2 linked regions of the Coturnix japonica genome follow. The protein of the gene in region 2 purifies or fractionates together with the protein of the main gene of each other region. This does not show direct contact. Links are inferred from orthologs where the notes say so. Each region holds a gene or a part of one and is shown on either strand. Other genes may lie near its edges.

Evidence for each region. The genes of interacting proteins can lie anywhere in the genome.
Region 1: the proteins of CCNA2 (region 2) and CDKN1C purify together in Homo sapiens (affinity purification with mass spectrometry; 3 studies listed by BioGRID and IntAct, counting the BioPlex papers as one, with this or other methods). This does not show direct contact. The link is inferred for Coturnix japonica from reciprocal best matches to the Homo sapiens genes CCNA2 and CDKN1C.

What each region holds. Positions count from the first base shown.
Region 1 is NC_029520.1:11,344,771-11,348,425, forward strand, and holds CDKN1C (cyclin-dependent kinase inhibitor 1C), read right to left. Parts: upstream 2,368-3,655; 5' UTR 2,155-2,367; coding exon 1,680-2,154; intron 1,579-1,679; coding exon 1,457-1,578; 3' UTR 1,452-1,456; intron 1,354-1,451; 3' UTR 605-1,353; downstream 1-604. UniProt on the Homo sapiens protein: Potent tight-binding inhibitor of several G1 cyclin/CDK complexes (cyclin E-CDK2, cyclin D2-CDK4, and cyclin A-CDK2) and, to lesser extent, of the mitotic cyclin B-CDC2. Negative regulator of cell proliferation.
Region 2 is NC_029519.1:48,271,975-48,276,319, forward strand, and holds the start of CCNA2 (cyclin-A2), read left to right. Parts: upstream 1-1,498; 5' UTR 1,499-1,513; coding exon 1,514-1,648; intron 1,649-1,751; coding exon 1,752-1,968; intron 1,969-2,293; coding exon 2,294-2,406; intron 2,407-2,714; coding exon 2,715-2,938; intron 2,939-3,465; coding exon 3,466-3,670; intron 3,671-4,345. Other genes in the region: BBS7 (Bardet-Biedl syndrome 7 protein), read left to right, coding at 97-220, 737-873. UniProt on the Homo sapiens protein: Cyclin which controls both the G1/S and the G2/M transition phases of the cell cycle. Functions through the formation of specific serine/threonine protein kinase holoenzyme complexes with the cyclin-dependent protein kinases CDK1 or CDK2.

The DNA.
Region 1 (3,655 bases), on a different chromosome or scaffold from region 2:
GGTCCCCCGGCTCCGCCCGGCGGTATCGGGGCACCGTGGCATGGAGCCACCCCACCTGCGGTCGGGGCTGCCCCACACCAAGTGCGTGCCCCCACCCCGCGAGCGTTCATGTTGCCTGGGGGCTGCTTTTTTTTGCCCTTTTCTGGCTTGTAGTGGTTGGGGGAGGAATAGGGGCTGGAAAGCAGTGCTGGGCTCGGGCGGGAAAGGGCTTTTCCCCGAGATGATGGAGAAGGCGTGCACCCGGAAGGGACCCCCAAGGGCACAGTCTGCCCTCCCCCCCATTAATGTGGGGCTGCCCCTCGGCCCAACTTGGGCCTCAGCTCTGGGGGAAGAGGGAATCGCGATGCAGAAAGACAAAACTCAAGTGTTTTCAGGCATGTGCGTTCCCCATCTCATTTTGTCATGGCCAGCAGCACTCTCGCTTGTTTGTAAGGGAAGAAGCCTTTTTCTTTCCCCCTCCAACTACAGCCCATACACCCCCACCCTGCTTTGCAGCCACACTGTCCCCCCAGCAGTTTGGTCACAGTGCGTGCAGGAGCATTGGAAGATGCAACCAACCTCCCCCCCGCCCCCTCCCCCCTGGGTAGCAGCACAGCACACAGCATTGCAAAGGTTCCTGGGATGTTTTTATTATTGGAGGTTGTGGTGTTATTGGCAATGGTAGTGATACAGTCGGGCTCAGGAACTATAGGAACTTGTCTTCAAGTACAGGGAACAGACTGCAGGGTTCATTACTACATCACGTGAAGGCCAAAACAAAAAACAAAACCAAAATCCGACTATAAAAATAAATTTACATTTTGTAAATAACAAAAGCAAATATAGTGCCCTCTGGCTTAACCAAAAGGGAAAAAAAAAGACTATTGAATGTCAACCAGTTATCCACATTTCTGACATAAATAGAAAATATAAGTTAGTATAACTCTTAGAAAACGTTTTGTACAAATATACACGTGCTTCTTTCCTCTTCTTTCTCCTTTTTTTTTCCTTTTTCTTCTTTTTTTGTTGCACTGAGAGATCAGCAGAGATTAAACATTTCCATATAAATGACTTGTTTGTTTTTGTTTTGTTTGTTTGTTTTTTCCTCCGTTAAAGCTTTACACTTCTGGCCAGTGTACTCACATTAGGCATAATACATTTCTGTACAGAACGTCACACATTGCACACTCGTACGCTAACACTGCTCCGTGCGCGGCCGCTCCCGGCGGGCGGGCGCTGCGGCTCCGACCCGACTCCGGCGGCGCTGCGGGGCCCGGACCGGGCGCGGTGCGGGGGGGTCCCGGCTGCCCACAACTCCGGGGCACGGCGCCTGCGGGCTACGCACCTCTCCCGTGGGTGCCGTAGTGCAAAAGGCTGAAGGGATAAAGAGGGAGTTAGAAGCGAGGGGACAGAGACGTGGACAAGGCTGTGTCCGCTCCTCCCCCTCCCTTTGGCTCCCTGGAGCTTCTCACCTGGCTCAGCGGAGCCGCTTGCGGGGGGTGTGCTCAGCCGGCACGGCGGCGGGGGGCTGCGGGCAGCCCACGGGTCGTTCGGCCGCCGATTTGGGCTCGGCCGGCCTTTTTCTCCGGGCGAAGAAATCTGGTGGAGAGGGACGGGGGGAGGGGGCCGTCAGCAGCCGCAAAGATTGCCCCGCGATGCCGCTACCCCCTCTCCCCCGCCCGGCCTCCCTACGCACGCACCTGTGATGCGGGTCGTGGGGCCGCTCCGCCGTGGCCGCAGTGCACGTCGGCGGGGCGCGGCGCGGTTCTCTCGGCTCAGGCGCGCCCCCGGCCCTCCCGGAGCCTTGGCGGCGGAGGATGCGGTATTGACGACGGACGGCGGGGCCGGGGAGGCACGGCGTAGGGGAACGCGGTGCCGGCCCACCTGCAGCGTCTCCCGGTAGAACGCGGGCACGGTGCCGCCCTCCACCTCCTCCCAGCGCAGGCGGCCGGGCCCGGGCAGCGGCGTGTCGGTGTGGAAGTTGTAGTCCCAGCGGCGCTGATCGTCCTCGCCCATCTCCCGCAAACGGCTCCGCAGCTCCCGGCCCAGCTCCTCGTGGTCCACCGGCCCGAATAAGCTCCTGCAGACGGCGCTGCGGCCGGGCACGGGCAGCGCCCGCAGAGCCGCCAGGCGCTCCGGGGCCGCTGCCGCACCCGAAAGGTGCACGTCGGACATCGCCACGGGGTGGGTGGGTGCGTGGCCGCCCGCCCCCGCCGCTCCCCTCGCCGCCCGTCCCGTCTCGTCCAGTCCGGCACCAAACACACTCCGGCCCTGCCTCCGCCTCTGAGCCCCTTCCCCCGGCTCCCGGCTTTTAAACCCCGCTCCCCGCGAGGACGAGCAAAACAACTATTAGCATAATAGTATTTCCCCGCCGCCGGCCCGCCGCGATTGGCGGGGACCCCCCCGCAGCCCCCCGGCCCCCAGCGGCAGCCCTCCTGCCCGCGCCCTCCATTGGCTGCGCCGGGCAGCGCCGCTCCGCCGCCGGCCGCATTGGCCCGGCCCGGCCCCGCCGCGGCCCGGGGGGGCGGCCCCGGCGCTGGCCCGGCCCCGGGGGGCGGCACGGAGCTCCCCGCCCGCCGCGTCCCCGCGCCTTTGTCTGCTAGCGGCCGCTGCTCCCTCCCCTGTACTCCTTTCCTCTCCTCTCTTCTCGGGGTTGCTTTCGGCCTCTCCCTCTCGCCTTCCCACCAGAGGTGTGCGTGTTTGGGGCGTCCTCACTGTTAGTTTTTATCCTTTCTTTCTCTCTCTGTTTTGTTTGTTTGTTTTGTCCTTCCTTTTTCCCTTGAGGAGACGTTGCTCAGCATCTGCAAGCGCAGGATGAGGACTCGGGGTCGGTTCTGGCTCCGTGGTTTGGTTGCCCTGCCGCAAAACAAAGCGGGATGCTCACAGAGTTCAAAACAAGCTGAGGGCTGCTTTTAAAAATAGCACTTCTCGGCTGTATGGAATTAATAAACTGCAGCCTCGCTGAGCAGAAATACATGGAAACCACAGCATTTTCCTCTCCTAACTTTTAAGGCCACATAAATGCTTCCCTGGAAGCACTCCAGGCCAGTCTGGATGGGGCTTGGAACAACCTGGTCTACAGGGGGGTGTCCCTGCCTATAGCAAGGGGTTGGAACTGGAAGGTCTTGAGGGTCCCTTCCAACCCAAACCATTTTGTGATTCCATGATAAGACATGGTCAGCTGCACATGAGCTCATCTCACCATTATGCTGCTCTCCTGTTTGTGCAGTCCTTACCTTGTGGTGGGGTAGGGAGTGCCTTTTTAAGATGCGCATCCGAATGGATGTGTGTTCATCAGCAGGGAGGTGTACCTATGGCGATCTTAGGGAGCCCCAAAGCTGGAGGGGTGTTGGGAGCATCCAGACCAATGGGCCATGCAGCCTTAGCAAGAGCTGGTGCCGCGAGAAGTCCTCGTGCAGCAAGACAGTGGGTAGGATAAAGAGTAGCAAGGGTGTGTGTGATCACAGGCAGTTTGCAGCTTTGCATTTGCACCAGTGGCAGTTTTGTGTGGTACTTTGGAGTTCTGAACTCTGGGCTGTGCCACCAGCTTGGCGACCTTTCGAGTTATTGCAGCCTGGCTACATTCAGAACGGTAATAAAAAATGAAGGTGGATGCCAAGCACGCCTCGTGGGTGCAAAATGTAGGTTTAAAAACACAACAATAACAAAATTCCCC
Region 2 (4,345 bases):
CTTCCTCCTGTTGAACCCAAGCTTAATTTCTTTCTACTTTTATGCTCTTAAGCTACTTAACCGCCTTTGATTTTTATGTTGTAAAATATCTTTGAGGAATTACAAGTTCAAGAAGGAAACGCGGACTTCTTGGTGCCAGAATACCGCAGTATTTTGGAAGAGGCAGATCAGCTGCTGGAGGAATACAAGAAACAACCTGCACATCTCGAGAGACTTTACGGTTTGTTGATCAATTAAACTTCTTGTCCTAACTGCAAATTAACGCTCAGAGAGCGCAACCTGGATGCTGCTGAAGTAGTTATGAGGTCAGCACTAGTAGAGCTGAGATGATTTGATAGGCTGATACACCTCAGTAGCTTTTTACATCTGTACGTTAAGCTTGTCTTTTTTGGCAAGACTGAGGGCTGTGAGTTGGGGTGGAGCTTAAGAATGTATGTATACCTGACTGATGGAGTTCCCAGCATTGAGGTGTTACAAAATAATAGACAAATGCACATGGGGTGGAAGGGGAGGATCTTAGGAGAGGAACTAATTGAGTGAAGGAAAGTCTGTAACCTTCTGTAGAGCTCCCTGTTCAGCTTTCAGCTCAGGGGCTCCCTGTCCTCACATACAGGGCCTGCTCTGTGAGGTCAGCTCCTTCCTCCATTCAGAGACAGGCACGTGTGAGGCAGAAATAACCACGTGGAAATTAAGCTGGTTGCTGGTCGTACTGACAACAGACATTTGACTTTTGCAGGTATGATCACTGATCTCTTCATCGATAAGTTTAAATTTCGAGGCACCAACGTGAAGAGCAAAGTTCCTCTGCTGCTGGAGCTGCTGGATGGCTGCGAGCAGGACCGGCTGCTCGCCTTCTTTGAGGCCGCGTCCTGAGCGGGACAGGACGGGCAGTGTGTGCAGTGTGTGTGTGCAGAGTGTGCTGCCTATTGCCAGGGGAGGGCAGTAGGCACTGGAGTTCATATATATATATATATTAGAATGGACACTCCATATATATAGAGTGCTGCACACAGCAATCTTCACACCTCCACTGAATATACACAGACAGCTGTATCCACCGGCCTTTTTCCTGTACTTTCAGTACAGTTAGAGACGATGCAGAGGGTAGGAATGTAAGAGCGATGTTTGTAAAGTACGTTTAGGATCCTGTACCTGAAGCTGCGAGTTTGTAATTAAAGCTAATTAAAGTTCTAATCCCAGCTGTGGTGTGGTGCGCTGCGCCTGCGCGGTCACCGGGCGGGGCGGGGCCAAGCGGCGCGCGGTGTGCGCTGCGCATGCGCGTTGCGGCGCTCCGGTCCCGCCCCCCGCGCGGCTGGTGCCCGCGTGACGCCTGGCCGCTGATTGGGCGATTCAATAGTCGCGGGCTGCTCGAACGGCGGCAGCGGCTCCGGGCCGCGAGACTGCGCGGCGGCGGGACGCCGGCTCACACCCGCACACACCCGCACATCCGCGCTCCGCGGCCGCCCCCGGCCCTTTCCCCCTCGGCCGCTTCTCCCCCCCCCCGGCGGGCACCATGCTGGCGGAGCAGGAGAACCAGGAGAACGTCCCCCCGCCCGCCAAAGCCCCGCCGCCCGCCGCCGGTACCCGCGTGGCGCTGGGGCTGCTGCGGGGCGGCCCGGCGCGGCCGGGGCTCGGGCTCGGTGCGCAGGTGAGCGGCGGGGCTTTGGCGGGGGGCGGCGGGCGGGCGCCATGTTGGGGCGTTGTGCAGCTGTCAGGGCGGCTGTCACGGCGCTGACCGAGCGCTCCCGCAGGCGGCGCGGAACGGAGAGGGCCGAGGCGCGGCGGCGGGGCGGCATCAGCCCTTCAGCGTCTACGTGGACGAGCCCGACGAGGAGCCGCGGCGGCCTCAGAGGAAGAAGGAGCGGGATGAGGAGGCGGCGGACGCGCCGGGGCTGCGGGCCGCCCTCGGGACCTTGGGGGAGCGGCGGCCCCTGGCGCCCCTGGGCAACGCCATGGAGCTCAGCCTCGGTAAGCGGCGGCACTGCCCCCTCCGCGCCCGGGGCGAGCGCCCGGCCCGCGCGATGTGGTGCCGGCGGCGGGACGCGGCCTGAGGCTGAGGAACGGGGCTGGAGCGCGGGGCTCGGCTGGAGGGAAGGGGGGAGTGTGTTGGGCAGCCGGGAAAGGGCTTCCCGGCCCTTCCTTAGTGGGGACAGCGGGGCGCTTCCTCCTTGAGCCATGGTTCGGCTTCCCCAGGGCCTGCTTGGCCCCCCTGCGTGGCCTCCCGCCGGCCAACAGCATCGCGCCTGCTGCACGGGGTTCTGCCGGGCCCCTTCTAACGAGGCCTTTCTCCTAGACTCCCCGAGTATCATGGATATCTCCATAACTTCAGAAGCAGAAGAGCGACCAAACGTTAACAATGTGCCAGACTATGTCAGCGATATCCACAAGTACCTTAGGGAAATGGAGGTGAGATGCCACCCGTTCTCTTGCTCGCATATTTGGGCTGAGTGTATCTGAGGATAAGTTACTGCCACAGTGACTGAAGTAAAGCTAGGAGTAAGTCCCCCTGCTTCCTGCTGGGAGGTTGGCTGCGCTCTGCACTGAGCACAAGCCACAAAGCACATGATGCAGATGTAACTTTCTGAGTCCAGATTGACCATTGCTTATTGTGACCTGTTAAAAACAGTCTGGGTATGGTAAATGGGAGTATGAGTGACTGCTTCCCTGCAGGCACCCAATCCAAACTCAGTCTTGTCTGTCATCTGAACCCACAGGTAAAATGCAAGCCTAAAATAGGCTACATGAAGAAGCAGCCTGACATCACCAACAACATGCGAGCTATTCTGGTGGACTGGCTGGTGGAAGTTGGAGAAGAGTACAAGCTCCAGAATGAAACTCTGCACTTAGCTGTAAATTACATTGACAGGTTTCTTTCTTCAATGTCTGTTTTGAGAGGAAAGCTCCAGCTTGTGGGTACTGCGGCTATGCTGCTCGCATCGTAAGTAAAAGTTCTTGATGGAAAATAACACCTACTGGTTTCATAGTGATGGAAGTCTTGTAGCTTTCATATGATAGCCTGTAATCATATTGTTTAGTAAGGGCTTTGTAATAGGTTGAAATATACAAAAGCTTGGCAGCCCATGTGAAGCCTTGCAAGTGAGATTCCAGGTTGTCTTTGTAGATTGGCCTAATGGGAGGATTTCCAGATGTAGGAGTGAAAGGCTTCACAAGGGAATTAAGGCAATAGTAAGAAAGAGTATGAAAAAGCTATTTAGTTTTCTTCTGGAATTTCAGTAACTCTTAAGTTCTAAATTACTTAGTCCCAAAATAACAGGCTGTTGAAACTCTTTAACTTCAAATTCAGGTGATTTGAGACCTATCAACCTGAGTGCAGCAAGCTTGCTCAGTCACTGTATCCAGCTACTTTGGAAGTCAGCACACAGTTCAGCACACTGGTTTTAATGAAGTGTTGCTGGTGGCCTGGTTCTCTAGTCCCTAACTGTTTGCTTCTGTTTCTCATGGCAGGAAGTTTGAGGAAATCTACCCCCCTGAAGTAGCAGAGTTTGTCTACATCACGGATGACACCTACAACAAGAAGCAAGTTCTGAGGATGGAGCACTTAATTTTGAAGGTTTTGTCATTTGATTTGGCAGCTCCAACGATCAACCAGTTCCTCACTCAGTATTTCCTGCACCAGCAGACGAACGCTAAAGTTGAGAGCTTATCAATGGTAAGGATTACTAGCTCAGTCTGTGGAACTGTAGAGTTCTGTTGTTAATGCATTTTACAAGAGCTGTTGTATGGGAAATTGGTAATCACAGCCTGAACCTCTGGTTAATCAGCTGAGGCAAGTGTTGGGGCAGCTGTGGGAGCACAGGTGAGAGTAATTTAGCTGTGCTCCAGGAAGGGATGGAGCTTGACTCCACCTTCTCTAGACCTCATTTAAGGGCTGACCATCACTAGGGCAGCATCTCTTGGAGATTGCTCCTTGGTGGAGATTGCTCCTTGGTGGAGATTGCCTCAGCATTTCCCAGTGAAGGCATCCATATCAGTGAGTTTTTCCTCATAAATAACCTTTTGAATGTTACCATCTTTGTATCATTCCACCTTACAGCTGTATTTGTACAGACCAGTGGTAAAGGGCTTTTTAGAGTGGACTTTTCCACCTCCTAATATGTTCAAGTGTGTGATCTCTCTGGGACACATCTGAGAAGTGCTCATGATGTGCCTCTGGCTCCTCCAGAAGCAGATCTGTACTGCTGGAAGCAATAGTGTCATTGCTGCTCTTTGAGACATTCCATTACTGTTACAGTCTGGTACTTGGCCTGGCTCCACATGAATGCTTACTCAAAGCAGGCCAAGACTGCTGCATTTTAGTTTGGGGTTTGTTTCCCTGTTAGGTATT